7 linked regions of the Ovis aries genome follow. The protein of the gene in region 4 purifies or fractionates together with the protein of the main gene of each other region. This does not show direct contact. Links are inferred from orthologs where the notes say so. Each region holds a gene or a part of one and is shown on either strand. Other genes may lie near its edges. The genes, in order: ZC3H18, ADNP2, ZFHX3, CHD4, PARP1, UBTF and ZNF512B.

The links.
Region 1: the proteins of CHD4 (region 4) and ZC3H18 purify together in Homo sapiens (affinity purification with mass spectrometry; 3 studies listed by BioGRID). This does not show direct contact. The link is inferred for Ovis aries from reciprocal best matches to the Homo sapiens genes CHD4 and ZC3H18.
Region 2: the proteins of CHD4 (region 4) and ADNP2 purify together in Homo sapiens (affinity purification with mass spectrometry; 3 studies listed by BioGRID and IntAct, with this or other methods). This does not show direct contact. The link is inferred for Ovis aries from reciprocal best matches to the Homo sapiens genes CHD4 and ADNP2.
Region 3: the proteins of CHD4 (region 4) and ZFHX3 purify together in Homo sapiens (affinity purification with mass spectrometry, with the first as the bait; 3 studies listed by BioGRID). This does not show direct contact. The link is inferred for Ovis aries from reciprocal best matches to the Homo sapiens genes CHD4 and ZFHX3.
Region 5: the proteins of CHD4 (region 4) and PARP1 purify together in Homo sapiens (affinity purification with mass spectrometry; 4 studies listed by BioGRID and IntAct, with this or other methods). This does not show direct contact. The link is inferred for Ovis aries from reciprocal best matches to the Homo sapiens genes CHD4 and PARP1.
Region 6: the proteins of CHD4 (region 4) and UBTF purify together in Homo sapiens (affinity purification with mass spectrometry, with the first as the bait; 3 studies listed by BioGRID). This does not show direct contact. The link is inferred for Ovis aries from reciprocal best matches to the Homo sapiens genes CHD4 and UBTF.
Region 7: the proteins of CHD4 (region 4) and ZNF512B purify together in Homo sapiens (affinity purification with mass spectrometry; 4 studies listed by BioGRID and IntAct, with this or other methods). This does not show direct contact. The link is inferred for Ovis aries from reciprocal best matches to the Homo sapiens genes CHD4 and ZNF512B.

What each region holds. Positions count from the first base shown.
Region 1 is NC_056067.1:13,386,982-13,390,481, reverse strand, and holds part of ZC3H18 (zinc finger CCCH domain-containing protein 18), read right to left. Parts: coding exon 3,242-3,500; intron 1-3,241.
Region 2 is NC_056076.1:643,766-648,039, forward strand, and holds the start of ADNP2 (activity-dependent neuroprotector homeobox protein 2), read right to left. Parts: upstream 2,801-4,274; 5' UTR 2,667-2,800; intron 1-2,666. UniProt on the Homo sapiens protein: May be involved in transcriptional regulation. May play a role in neuronal function; perhaps involved in protection of brain tissues from oxidative stress. May be involved in erythroid differentiation.
Region 3 is NC_056067.1:37,912,013-37,915,512, reverse strand, and holds part of ZFHX3 (zinc finger homeobox protein 3), read right to left. Parts: coding exon 2,318-3,500; intron 641-2,317; exon of another isoform or gene 539-640; intron 1-538.
Region 4 is NC_056056.1:209,658,248-209,661,747, reverse strand, and holds part of CHD4 (chromodomain-helicase-DNA-binding protein 4), read right to left. Parts: intron 3,083-3,500; coding exon 2,955-3,082; intron 2,675-2,954; coding exon 2,539-2,674; intron 2,395-2,538; coding exon 2,216-2,394; intron 2,059-2,215; coding exon 1,819-2,058; intron 1-1,818. UniProt on the Homo sapiens protein: ATP-dependent chromatin-remodeling factor that binds and distorts nucleosomal DNA. Acts as a component of the histone deacetylase NuRD complex which participates in the remodeling of chromatin.
Region 5 is NC_056065.1:28,693,606-28,697,105, forward strand, and holds part of PARP1 (poly [ADP-ribose] polymerase 1), read right to left. Parts: intron 828-3,500; coding exon 662-827; intron 1-661. UniProt on the Homo sapiens protein: Poly-ADP-ribosyltransferase that mediates poly-ADP-ribosylation of proteins and plays a key role in DNA repair.
Region 6 is NC_056064.1:43,773,890-43,777,853, forward strand, and holds the start of UBTF (nucleolar transcription factor 1), read right to left. Parts: upstream 2,801-3,964; 5' UTR 2,548-2,800; intron 1,966-2,547; exon of another isoform or gene 1,862-1,965; intron 1,672-1,861; exon of another isoform or gene 1-1,671. UniProt on the Homo sapiens protein: Recognizes the ribosomal RNA gene promoter and activates transcription mediated by RNA polymerase I (Pol I) through cooperative interactions with the transcription factor SL1/TIF-IB complex.
Region 7 is NC_056066.1:53,582,371-53,585,870, forward strand, and holds part of ZNF512B (zinc finger protein 512B), read left to right. Parts: intron 1-62; coding exon 63-739; intron 740-842; coding exon 843-1,069; intron 1,070-1,183; coding exon 1,184-1,255; intron 1,256-1,350; coding exon 1,351-1,497; intron 1,498-1,660; coding exon 1,661-1,785; intron 1,786-1,856; coding exon 1,857-1,949; intron 1,950-2,144; coding exon 2,145-2,243; intron 2,244-2,323; coding exon 2,324-2,494; intron 2,495-2,686; coding exon 2,687-2,881; intron 2,882-3,025; coding exon 3,026-3,127; intron 3,128-3,408; coding exon 3,409-3,471; intron 3,472-3,500. UniProt on the Homo sapiens protein: Involved in transcriptional regulation by repressing gene expression. Associates with the nucleosome remodeling and histone deacetylase (NuRD) complex, which promotes transcriptional repression by histone deacetylation and nucleosome remodeling.

The sequences.
Region 1 (3,500 bases), on a different chromosome or scaffold from region 4:
AACAGGTTCCAGCATGTTGGGCGCTGGCTGGAAGGCAGCCTTCCTACCCCAGAGCTTCTGGGCTGCTCGGCTAAGCAAGCACAGTGGTCCAGCCCCGACTAGCCAAGCAGAGGGAGGTGGGAGGCCTGATTGAATGCCTTGGGGCCAGGCCTCCGCGGCTTCTCCGCCTCCCACCAGAGGGCAGTGCTGCGAATGCCCCAGATTTCTAAGCCCCTAAATCCTTTGGTACAAGATGCTGTGTGTCCAGACATGAAAGGAGCAGGCAGATGTGAGCCTGAGAAAAGACAAAGCCCGTATGCAAAGAAAAGGCTTCAGAGCTGTATTCATCCCTGGCTGGGCCAGGAGCCATCACTTCTGCCTGAGCAGCAGTGTGGACAGTCCACTCAGGGTGCAGGCCCTGTCCCACCGTCTCCGAGCAGCCACCCTACCAGTGCAACAGTCATTGACCAAAGCCAGGAAGGAACAGAATACTCCGCCCCTTCCCAAGTGGATGACACACACCAGGTGCCAAAGTTTTGTTAACCAGATGACATGCGAGACATAAAAACAGAACCAAGTCAAAAAGCGGAGGAGACGATGGAAGGGCCAAAGATGGAAGGACTGGAGTCTGCAAAGGCAAGTCACAGACCCTGGAGGGAGGAGGCTCTGTGCAGGACCACACAAGGCACACACGGCCGCTCGTGCCATTCGGCTGTCTGAGCTGCCAGCACAGGTGAGACCACTGACTAAGTCAAGTTCACCCATGCTTCAGCTGTCACTTGGCGGGGACCCTCGGCCCCCTCCACAAATAAGCTAGATGCTATAAATAGCTGGCCCACAATCATGTTTGCAAAATCCCCTCCCACTGCAGCAGGGAAGTGGCACTTCCAGAAGGGCACTGGTATCTGAAGGTAGCTCACCAAAATACGTACAAGTCATTCAAGGCCTGAGTTATAAACCACGTGGTTCAAACAGAAGAATGTCAAAGGTTCGTTGTACAAACTGATGTCACTACCAAGGAAACCACCAAGAAAGTGGAAAAGCTGGGGAGAGGGAGCTTACTCCTGCCAAACGAACTGACCTGTCCCAGTGACCCAAAGCCTACAAAGGAAAAAAGCAGGTCAGTGTACCCCAACAGAGAAAAGCACTTCTCAGTTCAAAGAAGGGTAAATCACTTGTGTTCTTGGAGGTGAGGGTGCTAAAGAGCAACAAGAACACACACACTGACGACCCAGTCAGTTCAGACTGTGGAATCACAGCAAAAGCACCAAGCTTGACACGCCAGAAAGGGGCAGAGCCCACAGAAAGGGCGTAACATCTAAGCAGGTGATCAAAGAATGGGGAGGAGCCTGGAATGCAGGCAGCTGGGCACACGTGAACCAGAGGGGCTCCCATGAGGGCCTGAGTCTCCATTCATAGGGCGAGCCCTGTCCAGGCCTGCCTGTCTGGAGGGGCGACAGGCTCTGCTCTGCCTGGTCACGCCCCTGCGTGTCACAACGAGCCCAGCACACTGCGGGGCCCGTGGGGGTGCCTGTGGACGGACACGCCACCCTGTGGCTGAATGAAGCGGGGCCTGGGCCCAGGGGGGCTCTGGGGCCCTCTTTAGAGGCCAGGCAGGTACAAGTCAAATAAACAACCATCTAGGGTCAAGTGGGCAAGAAAGTCAACCTGGATGTCTACTTCTCACGTTGTTTCTGAAGAAATCAGCTATCTCCAAACAACAGGTGTTTTCCTGGGCCAGCTCAGGTCAACGCCATGTCCTAGGCCACGACATCTAACTCAGTGCAGGTGGGAGAGCCCCCAGGACCTGTGGGGAGATATCTGACTGCATGTGAGCATGGAAAGGCTGAGAAGTCGATGAACTTGCCCTACGGACCATTCACAGCTGAAGCAAGAAGAGCTTGCACCTCGTCCTTTCTTAAAGGGGGAGGACTGCCCAGACCCGCTGGCCGCACGTCCCGTCACTAACAGCCCCATGTCCTACGGGCAGGACACTGACTCAGCTTTTCTTTTTGTAAACTGAGAGACCAAACTAATGGGCAACCTCAATCAATGATTTCGTCTTCTGCCCCAAATGTCATCCAAACTGATTAACTGGAGTCTCATGGCATCTCTTTTGCCTCTGGCAACCCTCTGGTTGAGAATTTCCCAAATTGCAAGGGAAGCTCAGATGGCAGAACCTAAGAATGCTCACAGACAATGTCCCGACAACACCTTTGTAAGTACACTAACAAGCAGTGGCTACTGGCTTAGGAGACCATCTGCTACGCTTAGTTGCGAGAAGACAAAAGATCTAAGCTTGTAACTGCACACATGAGCTTGTAATGCCCCACAAAGTTCTGTTCTCATGAAGTTCGAGAAGCAGTACCAGGCACAACCATGGCCCCAAGATGCGGCATACGTACTAGCTGCCAGAGAAGCCAGCGTGTCAGGGAAATCCAACTCACACACTTAACCAACAACCCCCTCCTTCGGCGATCCAGAGCATTTCTGGGAGCTATTCCTCACACCCCTCCCCTCAGTGCCTCTCCCATGAGCAGAATCCCCTTCCTGGGATATTAAAACTCCAGGTCCTGTCAATCTGCTCTGTCTGTCTCTCCCCTCCTTTGAGTAAAAGCATTTATCAGCAGGACTTCAGATTCTTCCCTCCCCAAAATTCAACCTCTTAAAAGATGGCGAAGGAAGTTCTTGCATCAGGATTATCTATCATAAATCCCAACTGCCCACAACTAAGACAATTATTACCAGATACCTTCTCCTTAACCTGAAAGGCCAGATTAATAAAGTTAAAAGAATGTGATGGTCAAAAGTCAAAGTGCTCTGACACACAATCCCATTTTCTGCAGTCCCAAGGAGACACTTCCAAGGAAGCTTGGCCTAGAGAAGACCCTCAGCAGAAGACAAAGAGAAAAATGGCCAAAATAATGGACAAAACTGGAAGGAAGTTTCCTCAGTCTCGAGAATGTAACAGGAATTGAAATCCACAATGGTTCTAGTTGAACACTAACTCAAATAGTACTTAAACACAGGGAAAAAAAAAAAAAAGGCACAAAAAAAAATGCTTAAAAAAAAAAAATCCAAAGTTTTAACACAATCCAACCAACAGCACCAGACAGATGAGTGAGGGTCTGTGGAACTTCTGCCAGCTGCCGACTCCAGGCCAGGCTAGTCTCCATGCCTTCAGTGCCCCCTCAGCACCAGGTCAACGGCCCCAGCGCCAGCCCCCCGACCCCTCCTCAGGGCGCCCACCGCGCCTACTCACATCAATCTCCCCGTCGTCGATCTCCCCGTCATCATCCTCTTTCCTCTTCTCCTTGGCAGCCTCCGGGGGCTCCTTGTCCTCCACGGTGCGGACCCCCGCCTTCCCCTCCTCCCCAGGAGCCCCCTCTCCACGCTCATCATCATCCTCAGGCCCGGCCTTCTCAGCGTCGTCCTCCTGCGCGCCAGGGGCCGGCTCCTCGGGCACCTCCTCATCGTAATCTAGCTCGTGCTCATCCAGGTCCCTGGTGACCGACGAGGCC
Region 2 (4,274 bases), on a different chromosome or scaffold from region 4:
TTAGCAAGTTACTTAATCCCAGGGACTGTTTCTTCTGTAAAACAGGGACTGCACAACCGACTCAGTAGTTTTGAGGAAGAAAATTCACTTAACACAATAAAAGCACTTAGAACATAAGACTGTGAGTTTGCTATTATCTAACTCCAAAAACTTAAAATGCAACATCCAAAAAACTAGGATCATGGCATTCTGTGGAAGCAGTCACAGATTTTATTTTCTTCAGCTCCAAAACCACTGCTGACAGTGACTGCCGCCATGAAATTAAAAGACGCTTGCTCCTTGGAAAGAAAGCTATGACAAAACTAGACAGTATTAAAAAGACATCACTTTGCCGACAAAGGTCTGTATAGTCAAAGCTATTATTTTTCCAGTAGTCATGTACACATGTCAGAGCTGGACCATAAAGAAAGCTGAGCACCTAAGAATTGATGCTTTTGAATTGTGATGCTGGAGAAGACTCTTTAGAGTCCCTTGGACTGAGAGATCAAACCAGTCCATCCTAAAGGAAATCAACCCTGAATATGCACCAGAAGGATTGATGCTGAAGCTCCAATACTTTAGCCACCTGATGCGGCCTCGCTGGAAAAAACGCTGATGCCACAGAAAGACTGAATCCAAAAGAAGAGGGTGGCAGAGAATGAGATGGTTATAGATAGCATCACTGACTCAATGGACTGAATCTGAGCAATCTCTGGGAGATATTGGGAGGACAGAGGAGACTGGAATCCTGTAGTCCTGGTGGGGGGAGGGGAGGTGGTGTTGGCAGTCAGACAGGACTTAATGACTGAACAAGCTCCAAAAAATATAAGCGAAATGCTAAAACTACTCGAATACAGGGTTTTGTTGTTTCTTTTTAAGTAAAACTTTTAAAACACATGATATTTATACAATACATGAAAGCAAGAATCAAAGGTCTGGGTTCAAATACAGGAAGATTCCTTCTCTGACAGGCACCTTCAGCAAGTCCTCATGATTCAGTGTCCTCCTTGTAACACACTGCCAACAGGTCTGTGATAACCAGAGTGGCAGCCACAGCAGAATACTGGGGTGTGATCACTCAAAGTGACTACAACCATAAATTCACCAGAAACATATTGCAAACTTGGATCAAATTAAAAAGGTGTCCCAGATATCTTCATATAGATAGGTATCTTCCCTGGTAGCACACATGGTAAAGAATCTGGGTTCCATCCTCGGGTGGAAGATCCCCTGGAGAAGGGAATGGCTACCCACTCCAGCATTCTTGCCTGGAGTATTCCATGGACAGAGGAGCCTGGCGGGCTACAGTCCACGGCGTCACAGAGTCGGACACGACTTTCACTCACTCACTACTGGAGAGGAAGGTAGAGTGGTTACAAGAATTTTGTGTGTGTGTGTCTGAGCTGCTCAGTCGTGTGACTTTTTGCGACCCCATGGACTACAGCCCACCACGCTTCTCTGTCCATGGAATTCTTCAGGCAATACGGAGTAAGTTGCCATTTCCTTCCCCATCCTCTCCCGACACCAATCTTCAACTCCTAACCCTAAAACCAGCTCTCACATCCTTACCACTGCTCAGTCAGACGAGTGAGCCTGTCTCCTCCCAACTCCAGTCCCCCTCCAGACTAGCACCAGTACCCTTACGACACACAGATCGGTCACTTCCATGTCTAAAGGCCACTATCTCAACAAACTCCCAATTACAACGAGAATATTAAAGTTCGTTCATAACATGGCTACCTACTCAGTAACAAGTTACACATATTTGTAAACATGTATGTCTAAACAAGTTACACATACATTACTTGACTTCCAACCAAAGCCCAACAGCGCTCTCCTCAACTCGCACTTTTTACGTGGTCCTCTCCCCCAGAGCGCTCCTCCCGACTCCCGGTCCCACGTGCGTGCTGAGCCCTGAGGGGCTCGCCGGTGCCCTCAAGCACTTGCCCATCTGCATCATAAATCACCACACACAAGAGTCCTCCAGGTCTCAAGAGGCTGCCATTACCCATTCCATTCAATTATAAACAGTTTTAAGAGCATTCCGGCAAGCCTCCCATTCAAATTCAAAGAAAATACTTTAAACGTTTAATTATTTAGCAACTGTTCAGTTAGAACTAGCGGCTACTATTTTCGACGTTCCCAAGCCAAGAGTCAGGAGAAATTCTGCGCGCTCTACGTAAGCGCGGTGAGCGGCGGCATGTGAAAAGTTCAACTGTAATGTCAACATCTGCACATCATCAGTATTCACACTGAGAACTCCAGGGTGAAGGAATTGGGGCTCCTCTCAGCTGTGCGCTCAAGAAAAAACCCGCCACAACGCAGGCAGCTGAGCGCGCTTCAGCCCGGCCCGCGTCCGCGCTCGCTCCGGGCGGCCCTCCGGCTCCCAGCCCGCCCCCTTCCCCGGCCCTCCACGGCCGCCGCCCTGTCCCCGCGTTCCCCTCGCCCAGATGCCGTCCCCCGCCCCGCCTCCCGGGCCCCATCCCCGCCCCCCTCGACCCCGGCCCCACGTGACGCGGAGGGACGACGGGCACCCTTCGGGCCGCGAGCCCCGGGCTGGCAGAACGTCGCGGGATTCGAGAGGCGGCCACCGGCCGCCGGGTGTGGGCGGGGTGGGGCGGGGCCGCCGCCGGGACTTCGCAGGCCGGGCCAGGGGCGTCGCCGCGGGCCGGGCCGGGGTTACCTACCGCTGGGCGCCCGCAGCGCCGCCGCGTCCCTCGCACGTCTCGCCGCGCCCGCTGGGGCCCCGCGCCCGCCCGCCTCCGCCCCGCGCGGCGGGACCCCCGCTCGGCGCGCGCCACCCCGCGCGACCCCGTCCCCTCCTCCCAGCTCGGCCAGAAAGAGAAAATGGCGCTCGATTGGCCTCCGGAAGTGACGCGCACCCTCATTTGCATGCCGATGCAGTCAACCAATGGGAGAAGAGCATGCATGGGACCCCCCACTGGGCACTGTCCCAAAGGCCCCTTTGGGCCCCTGCCTTAAGCTGAACTGGAGGCTCAGCAGTGGGAATGGGGTTTTGTGTTGAAGCCCCCTCCCCTGACCCCACTCTTGCTACAGTGAACTGGCCTGCTAGCCTCTCACCATATCTACAAACTCTCGTGAGAGTTTGAGGTGATGGCGTCACTAGAGGGGGCGGAGCCCGTGCGTCGTCCTTCACGTGACCAATCACGTGGGTTTCCTAGACCTTGGTCTTCATTTGCATGAGGTGGGGTGGAGCTAGTGGCAGTAGCAGGAATAGGTGGCCCCGCCCACATCTCAGAGCCAATGGGAAACCAGCTGTCAGGGGAATCCTGCCCTATCATTGGAGGATAGAACTTGAACTATCAGAACTTTGACAAGGATGCTCTTGGTACATCTTGGTGAACTGACTGGATAGGGTCTCCTGACTTCGTAATTATATCCTAAGGAAATTAATTTCACACTTTTTCTTGAGAATTCGTATTTTTAAGTTAGAGCTACTACGTGCTGTGTAGGAAAAAAGTTAATTGCATACATTTATAAAAATTCTTAAATGGCTTGAAAGTTCACTTTTGCCCAGCTTTGTAAAAAAAAATGTGAAGGGATAATATATTTCTCAAAATGAATGTACCATAACGTGAATGGAGCTTTCAAAATGCCTATGGGTCTTCAACTGTTGAGTAAAGTGCCCAAGGGGTAAGAATAGAACCGCATTGCCCTCTGGGAACTTGAAGTTTAACGGGGAAGCCTGCTGTGCAGGCAAACAACTTTTTTACTTTATCGCTCCTCAGTGACTACTCCAGCCTTTCTCCCTTCACTGAAGCTGCCAAGCCATTACCTGCCCCTCCTCAACTTACTTTTCAGCACAAGACCATGTCTACTTCCAGAACACCAAGACCACCAAAAATGGTCTCCATCTATCTACTCCGGCCCCACGTGCACACGTTTTCCTCAGCACGGTCCTGATCAGAGTATGCGTCGGTTCACGCTCAGGACCAGTCCCTTCATTCCTGGGCCTTGTTTGCCCTGCCCGGCACCTCATTGCCCAGACATTCAGTTCAGTTCAGTCGCTCAGTTGTGTCCGACTCTTTGCGACCCCATGAACCCCAGCATGCCAGGCCTCCCTGTTCATCACCAACTCCCGAAGCCTAGTCAAACTCATATCCATTGAGTCAGTGATGCCATCCAACCTTCTTATCGTCTGTCATCCCCTTTTCCTCCCACCTTCAATCTTTCCCAGAATCAGGGTCTTTTCAAATGAGTCAGTTCTTCGCATCAGACCGAAGTGTTGGAGTTTCAGCTTCGACAGTCCTTCCAATGAGTATTCAGGACTGATT
Region 3 (3,500 bases), on a different chromosome or scaffold from region 4:
TAAGGTAGCACAAACAAGGCAGGGACAGACCAGATAATGAATTCCACACTCCGGACATGGCTCTGTCTACTTCGAGGCAAAAGGCTTGCTCTAGGTTTTAGGTTGGAGCTGCAGCCAGAGCCAGGGGTTCAGCAGGGCGGAGAAGAAATGCCTCCTGATTGCCCCATCCCTATGGCGTCAGGCTCCCAGAGAAGAACTGATAGGACAAAAGAGGTTCCATTTTAAGGAACATGTACTGAACCTCTGCTATTTACCAGGCTCTGCACTAGGTGTGTTCACTCAGTAAAGCAGCTTAGTACATTCTCACAGTAACCCTGTGGCTTTGGTTTTCTCATCTGTAAGGTCAGAACCACGCGAGGCGTACACTCCTGGAGTGGCTGAGGCATCTCCTGATGCGGTGTGGACTGTGGCTGACACGTCTGCCATGTGATGCTTGGAAGCTTGGCTTTCCACAGTAGATGGGTGTGGGGAGGAAATGGAAGGTCACGGGAAGAGCTTACCATTGGGCCTGACATACTCCTTTCTTTCCTAATTCCAGATGCAGTACTCCTGGGAGCTGTGGTTCAGTCGGTGGTGGTAACTGGGGCATGCCTGGCTGCCTTGAATGATTAAGAGCCTATCTTCCTACCTGGAGTCCACTGTAAGTGATCAGAACCTGAGGAGCACTAAGCATATACCCGTTGACTGACTGGCTTTATACTGGGTGCTGTGGAAGGAGTACAGTGCATCGCACTGGGAGCCTGGAGGCCTGGGCGGGAGCTCTGGCTCCTGCCCTAGCTTGCTGAATGGTCTTGACCTCTCTGGGCCTCAGTTTTCTCATCTGTAAAACAAGGGGAACAGATCAGACATTCTAATTCTTTCTCATTACTATGAAATGTTGGGCCTTCCCAAGCCCCTCTGCCGAGGTCCCAGGCTGCGGAAGTAGCTCAGTACTCAGCCACTTCCCGTCGCCTGTTTCCTGGCGACTCTATTTAGCTGACTCTTATTATCATTCTGTGATACTACTCGTCAACACAGGTAAGCAGCGACTTCTATATCTGAATGCTTTCTTCTCTTAGGATAAGAAAGTGGGATTTGGAATGAGGTAGCTTCATGTCCTGTAAAACCACTGCCAAAGTTATAAAACTTGGATTTAATTCAACCAGAAAGCAGGGAAGCAGCTGAGTCGCTAGAGCCCCTGGGAACTGGGACATTTCGAAGATAAGGAGGCACACTGAAGGGCTCTGCTTTAGTGAATGTGCACTGGTCAATGTAGGCTGTGGGGGACTTACTAACTCGTGCTAAGCCTCACAGGATCCTTCCTAGAGGGGTGAGGGTCCAATTTAGGAAAGACAGCTGGATCCAGAGAAGACAGGTGAAGAACGAGGAGGAGGAGGAGGAACAAGAGAGGCACACAGGAAGAACTGTGGAACTCCCTATGAGGTAGAAAAATGAGTACCAAGTGTGTGACTCTGCATTAGAAAGGGAAATGGGCAGAAGGAAATGAAGAGGTGATTGAACACCCCTAAAAATAAACATTTTCAGTTTAGATGACTATAAAACACGTCATAATTCAGAACCACATTGCACAATACAAGTTCCTGGTCAGTGCATTCCAGTATAGAGGTAGTCTAATTAGAAACTAGAGGGTGGTCCAGTGGTTAAGACTCCATGCTTCCACTGCAGGGTGTGTGGGTTCAATCCCTAGACAGGGAACTAAGATCCCACATGCTACAGCCAAAACCCCAGACTAACACACCACTGTGTTTCTGAATCAAAGGGAACCCCAGGAGTAAGGCTCCAGCTTGTGAGAGCTACTTCCTGGTAGCATCTCTCCTGCCAGAACAGGTCTCTGAAACAGGAGGCGGGACCTCAGGGAACAGCAAAGAGTTTATTTAAATTCTTTTGCACCTGTATCCAGAGGGCACAACCCAGAATTAGCTAAGATGTTCAAATGTTTTATATTTTCAATAGATTTCTAGATGGGATCTGCATTTCCACAAAGACTGAATGGAAGGGTCCATAATGGAAACTGCTGTCTCAAAAACACCCCAGGATCTAGTACACCAGAACCCTCCAGTTCATGCCCACAGCATACACCCTGGTCTGTGCTGAACACCAGGCAGAAGTATGGTTTCAGGAGATGGTTCCAACTCCAGGGTCCCCATTCTTGGACTGGGAAGTGGAGGATCATGTACATCACAGCTCTCGGGAGACTCAATGGAAGGGACCTGAAATTCTATTGCAGTTAGAGAACTAGGAATGTGGAGCCTCCCAGCACTCAGGTTTTGTGTGGTGGCTCTTTACTACTGGGAGAATCACTGAGAGCAGAACCCACCTGTGTTGGATGGAGTGAAGCCTGGCAGGGAAGGGCTGTTGAGGCCGGGGAGCAACACAGGAGGAATGCCCTGGAGCGCTGGGTATGCCGTAGGAAGGTTGAGAGCCTGCAGAGGGGCGTTGTCGAACATCCCTTGCTGCTGAGCTGCCAGTCCAAGGACCTCATTGGCCTTTTTAATCCGGTCCAGCTCTTGTTGAGCCATCAGCTGACGAACAGTGGCTGGGTCAAAGTACTCTTTCTCCTTGTCCAGCTGGCTTCCAATGGTGTCTTTAACTTTGGAGATATGCTGTTGGGAAAAGATATGGTCACGTACAGACAGCCGAGCGCTGTACTTGATGCCACACAAAGTGCACTCTGTTTTGGGTCCCTCGTAACTCGTTTGGTTTATACCAAAATGCTTGGCCATGCTTAACTTGGACTTCTTTTCTTTTGCCCGGGCATTCTGGAACCAGACCTGAACAACTCTCTTTGGCAGTCCAATGTCATTGCCCAGGACTTCACACTCCAGCATGGTGGGTGTCCGGTAGTCATTGAAGCATGACTTGAGGACCTTCAGCTGCAGATTGGTCATTTGAGTGCGAAAACGTTTCTGCCCGGGCCGATCCCCACTGTCTCCAGATTTGCCTGCTGACCCACTCACACCAGGGCTTGGAGAGCAGGGGTCTGCAAGGCTTGAGGTTTCACTGTAGTCCACGGTACCTTCATTGTCATATTCCTTGCTGTAAAAGCTGGGAGCTGGGCTGACCAGGCCAGATGACAGCCGATCTTCATACTCGGACATTGCCATCATGGCCGCTTTGGTCAGCCCTTCACTGGGCGCAGAAGAGGATTTGGTTTCAGTTGCTATTCCCGTCGCACTATCGTTATCTGCATTGCCCTCGTCTCCAGTAGTGGTATCTGTGATCGCTGTATTGACTGAGGAACAGTCATCGTTGTCCAGCTTAGTCTGGTCAAAGTTTAGATTAACAGAGGACATGGAGGGGCTTTCAAAATCTTCTATGCCTTCCACCTTGATGGAAGAAGGACTCAGAAGAGTCCTGGGAGACAACTCCATGGTTTTGCTCACAGGTGAGAGGGGAACACCTTGGCCATCACTACTACTTGGGGGTAGGTGGGAAAAGCTAGTTCCATCAAAAATATCTCCCTTCATCTGCAGTCCCCCATCACAGTCTAACAGCATTGC
Region 4 (3,500 bases):
GCCCAGATTTCCTCGTTTAATCTATTAGATTGGTGTAAACATAATTGCAGTTTTGGACTGTAAAATTTAACATTTAAATTTAATCATTATAACTAGGCTCAAACACAGTTTTATCAACCAAAATAGGGACTAACACAATAAACACATTTTTGCCAATGAGAAATAAGTTTATTCCTGTGGCGTAAAAATCCAGGCTTCGCGATTCAATGAATTCTTGGAAAGCATTTTCCACATCATGCTGGTTGTGGAAGCATTCTCCCTGCAAAAAATTGTTAAGCTTCTTGAAGTAGCAGTAGTCGGGAGAAACAGACATAGAGGTCAGGTGAATATGGCAGATGCAGCAAAATTTTGTAGCCCAATTTGTCCAACTTTTTGATTGAACATTGTGTGATCACCACACGATGTTCAACATTGATTGGACATCAACTTTTTGATTGAAGCGTTGATTGTGTCATGTATGGTTGAGTGCTGTCATGGAGAAGAATCGAACCCTTTCACTGCTGTAGGTCTGGTAACTCAGACAATAAAGAATCTCCCTGCAATGCAGGAGACTGGGCTTCGATCCCTGGGTCGGGAACATCCCCAGGAGAAGGAAATGGCTACCCACTCCAGCATTCTTGCCCGGGAAATCCCACGGACAGACGAGCCTGGTGGGCTATAGTTCATGGGGTTGCAAAGAGTCGGATACTACTGAGCAACTAACACACTTTCATTGACCAATGCTGGCTGCAGGCACTGTAGCTTTCAGTGCATCTCAACAATCTGCAGAGCACACTTCCAAAATGTGATGGTTTCACTGGGATACAGAAAGCTGTAGTGGATCAGACCGGCAGGAGACCACCAGTGACCACGACCTTTTTTTGGTGCAAATTTGGCTTGGCAGATGCTTTGGAGCGTTTTCTCAGTCCAACCACTGAGCTGGTTGTTGCCAGTTATTGCATAAAATACACTTTTCGTTGCATATCACAGTCTGATTGAGAAATGGTTTGTCATTGTTGCATAGAATAAGATATGACGACACTTCAAAACCTTTCCAATTTGCTTCAAATGCTGAACCACCATAGAATGGTTGATGTTGAGTTCTTCAGCAAATTCTTACGTAGTTTTAAGAGGATGAGCTTCGATGATTACTCTCAACTGTCAACGTCCCATGATTGGCCACTACGCTCATCTTCAAAGTTCTCATCTCCTTTGCCAGACTTCTTAAACCACTATTGAACTGTACATTCATTAGCAGTTCCTGGGCCAAATGTGCTGTTGATATTGAGAGTTTTCTCCACTGCTTTATGACCCATTTTGAACTCAAATAAGAAAATTGACTGAATTTGCTTTTTGTCTAACATCATTTCCACAGCTTAAAATACACATAAAATAACTAGTTGTTAGAAAAGACATAAACCAAGAAATATCCATTAAAATGATGTATATATAACACAAACCACATTTAAGAATGTATTCCAATTATCAAATGGCAAAGTTCAACAGTGCTAAACCTCATTTACTTTTGCACCAACCTAGTAACAGCAGTAAGTGGCCGTTATATGACTGAGCTACCAAGACCTCGAGGTTGGTGTCAAGACAAGAAAGGATGTCCTGGGTGACATCCCACTTGGGACAACAGGCAAAGCATCAGCTCTGTTGGAAGTCAGTCCTATAGTTTCCCAAGAGAAAGGCATCCCAGGACCACAAAGGAAGGAAAACTCCGGTTCCGGGGCTCAAAGGCCTCCAGATCTCCAGCAGTCTCTCCTGCACCTCAGCCTGGAGATGCCCACATGGAAGAGGGGTGAACCCTTGGCGCAGTTGGGGCCAGGCACTCACCGTGCAGCGGGGACACAGCCATTCACCATTGGGAATCTCTGGGAGGGGGGGGTTTAGGCAGTGGATGTGGTAGGAGGAAGGACAGGTGTCACAGCAGAGCAGCTCCCCGCCATCCTTGCAGACCCGACAGAACTCCATGTGGTGATCATCCTCTTCCTCGGGGTCTCCCCCAACCTCCTCCAGGATCTCCTCGCCCTCCGAATTGTCCTCCTTTGCCTCCCACTGGATGCCTTCCTTCTCCTGAAGTTGAGGACCACAGAGTCAGGTTACAACCACCCCCCACCCACCTAGTTGGACCACGCCCAGCATTCCTCCAAGAGCATCCCAAAGCCCACAGCCAGCAGCACCAGCGTGTCTCCCCCCGCCCAAGCCCTTGCCCTCAAAGCCAGGCACTCACGCAGTGTGGGCAGCTCCACTTGCCCTCGGGTGCCTTCTCCATGTCCGGGTCCAAGCAGACCATGTGGTATGCGCGGGGACACGTGTCACACAGGATGATCTCTCCGCCTTGCTGGCACACCTCACAATAGTCCTGGTGGTCTGTCTCATAACCATCCACAGCAGTCACCTCCTCCTCGCCTGGGCAAGGAAGAGGGAAAGCCCAGTTATTAGAAAACGACCACCTCCCCCCACCCCTGAAGCCCAGGCCCCATCTCCTTAGGGAGATGCCTCCCCAGTCATTCCCCTCAGCCCGTCACATATTGATACAGAAAAGCAGCACACCTTTCTTTTTCTTTTTTGTGGTCCGCAGTTTCTTGCGACTGCGGCTACTGCGGCTAGTAGAACCATCAGAAACAGAATAGCTATTGATACTGGCGTCGTCGAAGTCAGACTCCACATCTAAGTCATCGTCCTCACTCTAATGGGGCGAGAAGAAATACGACTCAAGATTCAGGCCAAGGGGAAGAAGAGAGTGGTGGAGAAGGGAGGCAAGGGAAGGGAGACAAGGGAATTGCTCTTCACTTGGGGCACTGCAATTACGGCAAGGACTTACACAGTGAGCCTAGAGTCCTGTTCTATGACCAACTCCCCACATACTTCAGCAACCACCGTGAAAGGTGAAATCCTGAACTAAGACACCATCCTCTCCACGGGCTAAGGCACCATCACCAGGGGACAGGGACAGGCTGGGCTCTCACCGAGGATCTTTTCCTCTTAGAACCAAAACCTCCCAGCTTGATTTTCAGGGGAGCTACTTTCTTGGGTTTAGGCTTCTTGGCGTCGGGGACACGAGGGCTACCCTTAGGCTTCCTCCGAGCATTGGGACCTAAATCAGGAGAAAGCAAGTGAGATCATGCAGTCCAAACATCCATAACAGAGCAGAACGTGGGGAAAAGAAAATATTCACCACCCAAAGTATTTCCACTGGGTTGGCCAAAAAGTGCCTTTTTAAGTAAATGTAAGACACATTTTTCACGTTGGAGAACTTTATTACACAATGTATCCATCATTTTGTTCCACTACCTTCTGCCATTTTTCTGGCAACTTCATAATCCTGTGTTCCCAAAACTTATCTTTTTGAGCAAAGAACTGTTCCAGGTGCCTTTTACAGTCTTGCAGGGAACTGAACTTTTTTACATTAACAGAATTTTATAAAGATAAAAATAAATGGAAATCTGAAGGTGCAGTGTCTGATGAACAGGGTGGATGAATCGAACTTCCCAGCCAGGCTGTAACAGTTTTTG
Region 5 (3,500 bases), on a different chromosome or scaffold from region 4:
GCAGGAAACTTAAATGTATATTACTGAGTGAGATAAGCCAATTTGAAAAGGTTACATACTGTGTGATTCTAACGACACAATATTCTAGAAAGGATGAAACTATGGATATAGGAAAAACATCAGTGGTTGCCAGGGGTTGGGAGATGGAGGGATGAACCGGTAGAATGCAGAGGAATTTTATAGAGCAATGGAAATACTCTGAATGACGTTATAATGATGGATATGTCATTATACATTTGCCCAAACCCTTACAGGAAAGATGTACACCACCACGACTGAAGGCTGATATAAACTCTGGACTTTGGGTGAACTGATGTGTCAACGTAACTTCAGCTGCTGGGAGAAGCTGAAGGTGGAAGAGGTCACGCCTCTGTGGAAACTCTCCACTTTCCATACTTTTTGCTTAATTGTGCTGTGAACCTGAAACCACTCTAAAAGAGGGTCTAGTAAGATAACCACCACAGCAAATTTAAAGGCTACATTTCAAGCATCTAGAAGTTAACATATCCTGTACCAACAGGACAACTCTGGGTCATTGGGATGCTGCTGGAGTAACGGGAGAGTGAGCTGAAGGACCTACTCTTTGCTCTCACAGAGCAGGCCCCTGCCCAGGAAGCTCCAGGGTTGGGGCGACCCCCGCACCTCCCCGCTGGGCACACACCTGTCGCTCCTCCAGTCTCGGCCATCTTCTTGATCTTCTGCTGGTCATCCCAGCGGAGCTCAGAGAACCCCTCCACCTCAACATCAGGGTGCCAGATGGAGTGGCCGACCTTCCAGAAGCAGGAGAGGTGGTGCCAGTGTGGGATTTTCCCATCGAACATGGGCGACTAGAAGGGCGGAATCAGAGGTGGAAAAAGAGCTGTGAGCCTCAGGCGCGGGCCTCAGCACCAGACATCCCCAACCCCCTTGCTTATCTGTCAACAGAGGACGGCACCCACCCCTCAGCTGAGGAAGCTGCCTTGCCTGCCCTGGGACAGGCACCAGGCCATCCCGTGGGGTTGACCGGCACTTCAGCTTAGCGTTCAGCCCTGAGCGCGGTTACCAAACTTGCCACTGCGTTTCCGTCGCAAACTCAGCTCAGAGCTTGGCGAGGGCATAGGAGGTGCCCGTCCTGCTTTCTGGCGCCCCCCCCCCCCCAGCGGACCACCGCCAGGGCCCGCGTGGCCCCCAGGGCTCCATGCACCTAGGACAGCGGGGAATGAGTCCCCGATGAGCGCCAGGCTGAGCAGATGTGTCAGAGAAGTGGCCTGCCGGCAGCAGCCAGGCAGATGTGCACGGAATGAAGGACTTCCATGAGGGAGACTGAAAGGGACCGGCAGGGCGGCACCCCACCCCCAGGGGCTGGAGGGACCCTGCTGCCCACCACCCACCATGGGCCACCCCACAGCTGTCTCTGAGGAACCAGCACCCTCATTTCACAGTCTCATGGGGGTGCGGTCAGACATGCAGCAGGTGATTCAGCCCCGGTTCTTTCCACTACGCTGCTCTACGTCGCTCGGCAGGAAGAGGTACTTAAAAATACACAAACGGTTCTTCTGACTGAAGGTGCCAAACATCTGCTTTGATAGGACAGAAATCTAAATGTCAAGCAGATGGCATAAAACAGCGTTAAAAATAAACACCCAGCAGAACGTTTAGGATGGAGTCATGCGGACACAGAAAGTGCTAAGGAAAAGCAGGGACAAGCTCTCCCAACTGGCCCTCTCCTACTAGGTGAGCAGCCTCTCTCTGGGTTTTATAGACAGCATTGAATACAATACAGGGTTAACGGCTGGGGCACAAGGACGCAGGGTTGCGCAGCGTGGGTTTACAGCGGCAATGGCTGTCCCCTGGGCTCCCCAGCTCTAACCAGAGCCAACAGCACTTCCTCATGTCCCATGACAGATGCCCCTTCCCATAGCTCCCCAGAGTTAAGATTCATTTGGGTTATTATTTGATCAAGGCCTGTGCCCTGCGTCGGGTCAGGAGCTGCCAGAGAGGCGCCATGCAATGCCTGTCTTGCCAGCACAGTCACGGCAGGCACTCAGAACATTTGTGGGGTGCCCCAGGTCTGGAGGGAAGAGGAAGAAAGGAAGGATGGAGGAGCTCCTGCTGTGGGAAAGATGCTTACTCCGAGACAGCCCTTCCATCCACAACCAGTCAACAAATGTCATTTCAGAGAACAGACTCGTGTCCTGGCTCTCAAACGTTCACCAAGGCAGCCAACATATCCTTAAACGCCTGGGCGTCTTGTTACAGCATCTGCAGTGGCCTTGACCTGGCTCTGCCTGCCCTGGAGCCCCTCTTTAAGCCTCCTTTAAGTGCAGAGAGGGGGCCCCTGACTCATGGCTCTGCCCACCCCTCACTGGAACCTATGGCCACGATTTCTTCCTGGCTCTCTGAGGCCCCCATACGTGCTCCTTTAACTCTGGCCTGAGTGCTGTGTCCCCAGCCACCGGCACAGTGCCAAACATGAAAAGCCTCCACCAGGGTATACTCATGGCACAAACTCCAGGACTGCTGAGGCCACTGGTCTCCCTCCAGAGGAAAGAACCCTTGATCTGTGCAAAGCTTTATACTTAAGAACTCAGGACAGGATGAGATGGCAAGAAAGTAACCAGGCTAAGGTCACAAGACTATTGCCTCACCAGGCAGTCGCGGGGCTCCAGTAAGGAGCAGAATTCTTGGCTGTAGACTCAGCAAACATAAGTGCCCACCACGTACCAGGGTCCTTACCGAGCCACTCTCAGGCTGCTTCCTGAGAAATGGGCTATAAAAAAGAGGCCACACCAGGGCCAGCCTACCCCAGAGAGTGCAAAGCAACTGTTACCACGAAGAAAGGAAGAAAGGCAGCAGGCCTTTCCTGCAGGCCCTCCCAAGAACACCAAGGTCGGGTGCATTCCCCTCCAAGCTGCCCCAGGGCCTGCCAGCTAAAGTATCAGGTATTTGATACTCCAAGAACAATCCTCCCACACAAATGTAAAAGAAGGTATTTAAATCCAAAGGAGGGGTGGGGGAAGAAAGGCTTCTTTTTTCTGGCCTTCACCAGCTCAGCCTAAAGGACCTACAAAACATTTGTGTAAACTCCACCCTCAATTACCATTAGAGAAAAATCATACTTAATTTTAATAACAAAATTTCCTTCACTAACAAGTAAGCAGGAGAGCCCAGAATGTTACACTTTATTTAGTTTAGAAAGTGATTACTCACTTGGTGGAACTGCCTGGACTAGAGCCAACCAGCCTCTTTACTCCTCACCCACGTCCCAATAGAACAGGGTCCTCTCTGACTGTCCAGTGAAGCCTATGGATGTCCCTTTCTCAGACTAACATTTTAAAATGCACAATAAAATGTGTAAGTTCACAAAGGAAGTCAATGGTATTAAAATAATTATGAAAACATTTAAAAAGTTGACTGGGATACAGTAATCTACAAGTCGCTCAGTCCAACTCTTTGCGACCCCATGGACTGCAGCACGCCAGGCTTCCCTGTCCTTCACCACAAACTTTAAAGCATTAAAT
Region 6 (3,964 bases), on a different chromosome or scaffold from region 4:
ACTCGCCCCGGGTCTCCAGGCGTCCACCGCACCCACGGCTCGCTCCCCGCCGCCTGGCCCCGGCCCCGACCCGGCGCGCGTCCTCAGCCGCCTCGGTTACCCGGCGCAGCGCGGCCTCCGGGCTTCCCGCTCCGGCGGCTCCCTCCCCGGCTCTGATCGGCGGCGCCCTCCCCCGCTCGGCCGGGCACAGCCGCAGCTCCCTCCCGCGGCGGCAGCGGCTCCTCCTCCGGGCGCGGCGGCGGCGGCGCTGGGGCGGCGGCTGCTGCTGTGGCGGCGGCGGCTGCGGCTGTGGCTGCTGCCTGCTGCTCCTCGCGGCGAAAAGCACAAAGCACAGCGCCCTCCGCCTGCAGGCAGCCCGCCCGCCGCCCGCCCGCCGGCCCCGGCCTCAGCTCGCACACCCCCCGCCGCCGCCGCAGCCTCCGCCGCCGGAGCGGGGAGGAGGAGGGAGAAGGGAGGAGGAGGAGCGGGAGGGGGGGCGGGAGAAGCGGGGCAGCGAGCGCGTCCTTCCCCGTAGAGCGCACACCGACCCCCGGGGAGCGAGCGCCAGCCCGCCCGCCTCGCCGGCTCCGCTCCCTCCCACAGCCTGCCCGGGCGGGCTCCGCGGGGGGCAGCTGGGAGGAGGGGCGGGAGCTGGGGGGACCCGGGCGGCCGAGGCGGAGGGAAGGAAGGAGGGGAGGGGGGTAGTGCTGGTGGTGGTGGTGGTGGTGGCGGCGGCGGCGGCTGCTGCTGCCGCCGGGGAGGGGGGGGGGGGGTCGGGGCAGGGAGACACGCAGCCGCCCGGATGGCGGCGGGGCTCGGAGCCGAGGCGGGCGGGCGCCGAGAGCGACCTCGCCAGACCCGCGGGGGAACTAGCAGGCTCGGCCGGCGCAGGAGGGAGGGCGCGAGGCGCGACCGCAGAGAGGGTGCCGGAGGGCCCCCCGGCAGCTGGAGAGGCTCCGGGGGTGTTTGCAGCCCAGCTCCAGAGCTCTCTCCCCCAGCTCAGATTCGGGCTTCCACTCCAGCCCTCACCCGCTCACTCGCCCGCCTCCCGGAGCGGGCATTTCGCGCCCACCCTTATCCCCGGAGCGTAGCCACCGGCTTGGGGCGCACGCAAGCCAATCGCCGTGCCAGGCTTCGGAGCCTGCCTCGCTGCTAAGCAGCACACACACGAAACTTGAAAAAAAAAAAAATCCCTAAAAAATGTCCTCTTTGCAAATTAAAACAGAAAAAAAAAATCTTCTTTGCTCTTTAAATCCCACAAGCGGCGATAAAGCTACGAGTCGGCGGAGGAGCCTCTGTGGGAGCTGGTTCAATCCAGCCCGGCATGGCTCCCCAGGCCTGCCCGGGCGCATGGAGATCGGCGCCGCCGCCACTCGTAGAAACCCCTCTCCCCCGAAATCCGCGGCGCCGGGGCTCACTTACCGAGCGTGTGAATGGGAGCACGGGCCAAGGGCGCCTTAAGGGTGCGGCGGGCCGAAGAGCTGAGCCGCAGCTCCGCCGCAGCCGACGCCGGGGCAGCAAGCCGCCAGACAAAGCCCGAGATGGCGAAGCGGAGCGACGGCTAATGGCGAGCCCCACGCGCCGCGCTCCGCCCGCCCCGCTCCGCCCGCCCGCCCGCCCGCCTCGGCGCAGCGCAGCGCCGCTCCGAGCGCTAGCCCGTCAGAGCCGCCTCGGCGCCGCCGCCTCCCGGGCCACCCCGGCCTCGCCTGGCCCCTCCGCCTCCTCCGGGCGACTCAGCCTCACCCCTTCCCTCCCACCGTGCTGGGGGCTGCACGAAAATAAAAAAAAAGAAAAGGAAAAATGCTTTTCTTTTTTTTTCCTCCTTTTGGCAGGGCGGGCGTGTTGAGACTTTCGAGTCTTTTTGCCCCCAGCTCGCACTCACCTGCGGAGCCGCCGGGAGGGCTGGGGGTGGGGGCGCGTGGGGCTGGAGCCGGCGAGCGCGGGTTGAAAGCTAGCCAAGCTCTGCAGCGCCCGACCCGGGCGTATACGCCGCCGCCAGTCCCCGCAGAGAAATCGTCCTCCTACCCCCGCCTCCATCGCTCTGCGTTTCTCTTCCAATCAGCCGATCGCTTGGCGGCTCCTCCATTCTCCGGCCAAGCCTGCTGCCTAGAGCGAGCTCCACTCCTCCATCTGCTCGCCCGGCTCCTCGCTCCCCTGCCGGGGCCGGCGAGGCGACGTTGGGCCGGAGGGGGATTTGCGAGGGAACCTGCCGGCTTCCCGCTCCCATTGCTCCCTCCCCGCTGCCTCCTGCTTCTCTCCTGCGTCTTTCCAACTCTCCCCTGTCGCCACTGGTGTGTGTCTGAGTGTATGCGCGGGTTTCTTTCTTTTTTTTTTTTTTTTTTTATTGCTCTTTGCTTTTGCAACCCTGGAGCCAAAGCAGGGTGGGGGGGAGAGAAAAGGGGGGGAAGGGTGTTACCAAAAAAAAAAAAAAAAAGCAAGCAAGAAAAGCTCTTAGGTTTGCAACACATTGGAAAACCGGGGGAGTGCCCCGCCTCGTCCGTTCTCGGTGCCCCGCGAGGGCCTTCCGGGTTTTAGAGCGAACCTCTCGCTATTCTCAATGCCCCTCACCTCCTCCGAGTTTAGGATCCGAGGAGTCCGAGCAAAGAGTTCTCCCCTTGGGCCATAGTAAAGGGGTGTCAGGGTGAGAGTTGGGGGCATTTTTCAAGAAGCAGCAACCATCCGTCCCACCCCTGCTTCGGTAGCTGGGCCGCGGGAGTCGGTTGAGAGCAAAAATCCCGGTGGGTTTAGGCGAAGGGGATTCCGGGGCGAAGCGGAGCCGCGAGACCGCGCTTCGCGCATCTCCCCTTCGGTCTCTGCCTCCAGTCTCCAGCCTGCTCCCCCTTTAATTTCCAAACCCCCCCCCCCCTCCTTTAATCTAATTTCTTCCAACTCCACCTTTGTTGTTAACCGGCGTCACGCCCGGACCAGCCAATCCCCGGCACGCTATCAGCTTGTCAAAAAGGCTTGGCCAGCCCTGGGAAAGCAGGCCGCGGGCTCTGCTCCCCCTGCCCCTCCTCCCCCCGGCGGCGGCGGGGAGCCGCGAGGGGAGCCTGGCACCCCGGCCTCGCCGCCAGAGCCCCAGCGGGGCAGCCTTCCCGTAGGCCTCCGCTCTCCACCATCCTGCGGGCCGGAGATAGAAAGGCCTAGGCGCGACCACCATCTACCCTCCCACTGCCGTCGGCTGCGGTTGTCTGTCTCTGCCTCTCCTCCACCGAGAAAGGTTCATCTGGACGCAGGAAGCCAGAAGACGGTCTGAAGAACGCTTGCTTCCATCAGGCGAGCCTACGGTTTGGGCCATCGCTCCGGGGCGGCGCCATCGCCCCCGGCTCTAGGGATGCCAGCCTACCACAGCGGCACTGCCAGCTGGGCCGCCGGCCCCTTTGGACTCTTCCCCTGTCACACAGCCTTCTCCATCCCCACACCACGGCCTCGCTGTTGCTGTAATTTATCTTGTCCCCTGGGAGAACTGAGAGTCCTTTCCCAGGACTTCCACAGCCCACATCTGCCACGTTTCACAAACCGGGAGGAAAATCTTGTCAAGATCTGGTGTGTCCGAATTTTTTAGTGGGTAGGCGGGGCCAATTTACCTTGATGCTAGTGAAGCTTAAGCTTCAGGGCCCTCATCGCAGGCTATCTCTTTACTTTTGATTCATCATTTGGTATTATTTTTTACTCGCCCCTCCCCCTCCCCACAAACCCAGTTCTGCCCTTGGAACTTACAGAGGGCATTTTGTGAAGGACCAAGCCATGTCACGCTGTACTTAGAACCTGCTGCTGCTGCTGCTAAGTCGCTTCAGTCGTGTCCGACTCTGCGTGACCCCACAGACGGCAGCCCACCAGGCTCCTCCGACTCTGGGATTCTCCAGGCAAGAATACTGGAGTGGGTTGCCATTTCCTTCTCCAACTTAGAACCTGCAGGGAATGACTTTCTTGTTTTGACTTCGAAACATCAAAGGGTTTGGAGTCAGAAGTCCCAGGTTTCCAG
Region 7 (3,500 bases), on a different chromosome or scaffold from region 4:
CTGGGGCCCACCCTACCCTGGCTGTTGGCTTGGGAGTGTCCATATCTGCCCTCTCCACCCAGGGTGCCATCTCAGAAAGGCTGACCTTTCCTTGCCCCTTCTGTGAGGCTGCATTCACCTCCAAGACCCAGCTGGAGAAGCACCGGATTTGGAACCATATGGACCGACCCCTGCCTGCCCCCAAGCCTGGGCCAGTCAGCCGGCCAGTCACTGTCAGTCGGCCGGTTGGGGTTAGCAAGCCCATTGGAGTAAGCAAACCTGTCACTATCAGCAAGCCCATTGGCATCAGCAAGCCAGTGACAGTCAGCCGGCCTGTGCCAGTCTCCAAACCAGTGACAGTCAGCCGACCCGTGCCAGTCACCAAACCAGTGACGATCAGCAGGCCCGTGCCAGTCACTAAAGCTGTCCCGGTCACTAGGCCCATACCAGTCAACAAACCTATACCAGTCACCAAATCTGTACCAATTGCCAAGCCAGTGACAGTCAACAAACCAGTGCCAGTCACCAAACCAGTGACTATCAACAAGTCAGTGCCGATGACAAAGCTTGTAACAGTTACAAAACCTGTGCCAGTTGCGAAGCCAGTGACAGTCAGCAGACCCATCGTGGTCAGTAAGCCAGTGACGGTCAGCAGGCCCATTGCCATCAGCAGACACACGCCACCCTGCAAGGTGGTTCTGCTGACCAAGTCTGAGAACAAAGCTCCTCGGGCTGCAGGGAGGAGCAGCGGTAAGAAAAGGTATGGGGGCTCCTGCCTGGTTGGGACTGGGTGTCCTTAGGGCAGTCCAGGGGTAACAGGGCCCAGAGCGGGTCCTCCTGTCTTTACTCCCTGCTCCCTGTAGGACTGCGGATGGCCTGGACGCCTGCCCCATCCCACCCAAGCATGCGAGGCCAGAGAACGGAGAGTACGGCCCAGCCACCCCAGAGCAGAGCTCGGCCTTCCAGCTGAGCACAGACCCCAGCAGCAGCCCCCTTTCTCTGGGCAGCAGACCCTCAGGGGGCAAGGAGGTGCCAAGGGCTCCAGGCCCCGGGTCCCCGCCTGAGGAGGGTGCAGAGCGCATAAAGCACAGTAAGATGGGATTGGGAGGCAGCAGCCAGGGTGAGGCCAGCAATGAGCCGGCCTGAGCTTACCAATGGTTATTTAACCAGAGTCTTGGCCTCTGTTTTCTCTCTCCTGAGTCAGGAAGGAAACAGAAAACACCCAAGAAGTTTACGGGTGAGCAGCCGTCCATCTCAGGGACTTTTGGACTCAAAGGTGAGGCCTAGACTAAGCCAGGCACCCTCAAGGGCCAGACACACGCTGTGGCCACACCCTCAGCTGACACCTACCTTCCCTGCCTGTTTGCACAGGGCTGGCCAAGGCAGAAGACAAAGCCCGCATCCATAGGGCCAAGAAACAGGAGGGCCCGGGCCCTGAAGACACACGGAAAAAGGGGCCAGCCCCCACCAGCGCTGTCAACAAGGAGGTGCCAGCTCCTATGACCCACCAAGCCTCAGGTAGGGGCTGCTGAGTGGCAAGGCACAGGCCAAGTCTTGATGACGGAGGCAGATCCTGAACCATGGGGACGGGGACTGAGTGTGGGCTTTGGGTTCTGTGCTTGGCGTTACGGTCATCTGGGAGCTCCTGCCCCTCACCTGAGTCCCTGGCCTTGCCCTGCAGGTGGCCCTGAGGAGCAGTGGCAACGGGCCATCCACGAACGGGGGGAGGCTGTCTGCCCCACCTGCAATGTGGTCACCCGCAAGACCCTCGTGGGGCTTAAGAAGCACATGGAAGTGTGTCAGAAGGTAGGGCTGCCCCCTGGCTCGGGAGGGGAGGCACCCCAGGACCGACCTCTCACTAACATGCCCGTCTGCAGCTGCAGGATGCACTGAAGTGTCAGCACTGCCGGAAGCAGTTCAAGTCCAAGGCCGGCCTCAACTACCACACCATGGCTGAGCACAGCACCAAGGTATCCCCTCGGGCCCAGCTGCCATCCATGCTGCCCACTGGCCGCGGGTCTCCTTCCCCCTACCTGCCTGGCTCTGACCACTGGCCTCTCACTAGCACAGCTTAGTGGCTCCCGTGCCTGACTAGGGACATCCGTGGCCCCGGGCAGGGGCGGGCCCCGTGGTGGCGGGGGCACTGAGGCTGGCCTGCCCCTCAGCCCTCTGATGCCGAGGCCTCGGAGGGGAACGAGCAGGAGGAGCGGGAGCGGCTGCGGAAGGTGCTGAAGCAGATGGGCCGATTGCGCTGCCCCCAAGAGGTGAGTGGGCCTGCAGGTGTGGACGCCAGGTGGATGTGGCCTGGCTGCTTACCACACTCACCTGCCCCCTGGAACCCCAGGGCTGCGGGGCCGCCTTCTCTAGTCTCATGGGCTACCAGTACCATCAGCGACGCTGTGGAAAGCCGCCCTGCGAAGTGGAAACCCCGTCCTTCCCCTGCACCCACTGTGGCAAGCCCTACCGCTCCAAAGCAGGCCATGACTACCACGTGCGCTCAGAGCACACAGCCCCGGTGAGTAGCCACAGCCTGGGTGCTCGTTCCTCAGGCCCCTGCCCTGTGGGCTCCCTCTTCCCTCCTGGGGGACTGGTGTGTCGGGGGAATGAATCTGTGATGGGCGCCTGTGCCCCCAGCCTGCTTTCTCCTGTGTTCTCTGTGTGGCACATGCCATGTGGCTCACCAGCTCACCCAGCCTCCCCTCCACAGCCCCCTGAGGAGCCCTCTGACAAGGCCCCTGAGGCTGAGGACCCGCTGGGTGTGGAGCGGACTCCCAGCGGCCGTATCCGCCGCACGTCGGCCCAGGTCGCTGTGTTCCACCTGCAGGAGATCGCAGAGGACGAGCTGGCCCGAGACTGGACCAAGCGGCGGATGAAGGATGACCTGGTACCCGAGACCGCACGGGTGAGCCCTCCTCCCTGTCTCTGAGTGTAAGGCCCCTGGGAGAAACCTGGGCAGTCCGCCCGCCTCCTGGGTGCAGACCTCCCATCCATGGAGGGGAATGTCTGGGTCACCTCCAGCTTACCCTGTCAACTGCTGTGTCTGTAGCTCAACTACACGCGGCCAGGCCTTCCTGTGCTGAACCCCGAGCTGCTGGAGGCATGGAAGAACGAGGTCAAGGAGAAAGGCCACGTCAACTGCCCCAACGATGTGAGCTGGGCAGTCTGGGCAGGCGTGGGAGCTCTGGGACTCAGAACAGAGGGCCCAGGGCTGGCCTTGGGGGGAGACTTCCATGTGGCCCGAGTTTCATAGGCAGAGAGGCCTTGACCTCAGCCCTAGCAGCTCAGCCTGCCACACCCTCTGACTTCTGGGATCACACCCACCCACCTGCCTCAGATGGGCCCCAGATCCCCTGGGCTGGGCAAGGGGTGCATGGTGGTCAGTGGGCTCCTGCTGGAGAGCCTGTCCCCACGGTTACCTCCCACCCCCAGTGCTGTGAAGCCATCTACTCCAGCGTGTCCGGCCTCAAGGCCCACCTGGCCAGCTGCAGCAAGGTCAGTGCCCAGGCCCTCCCCTCAGCCGT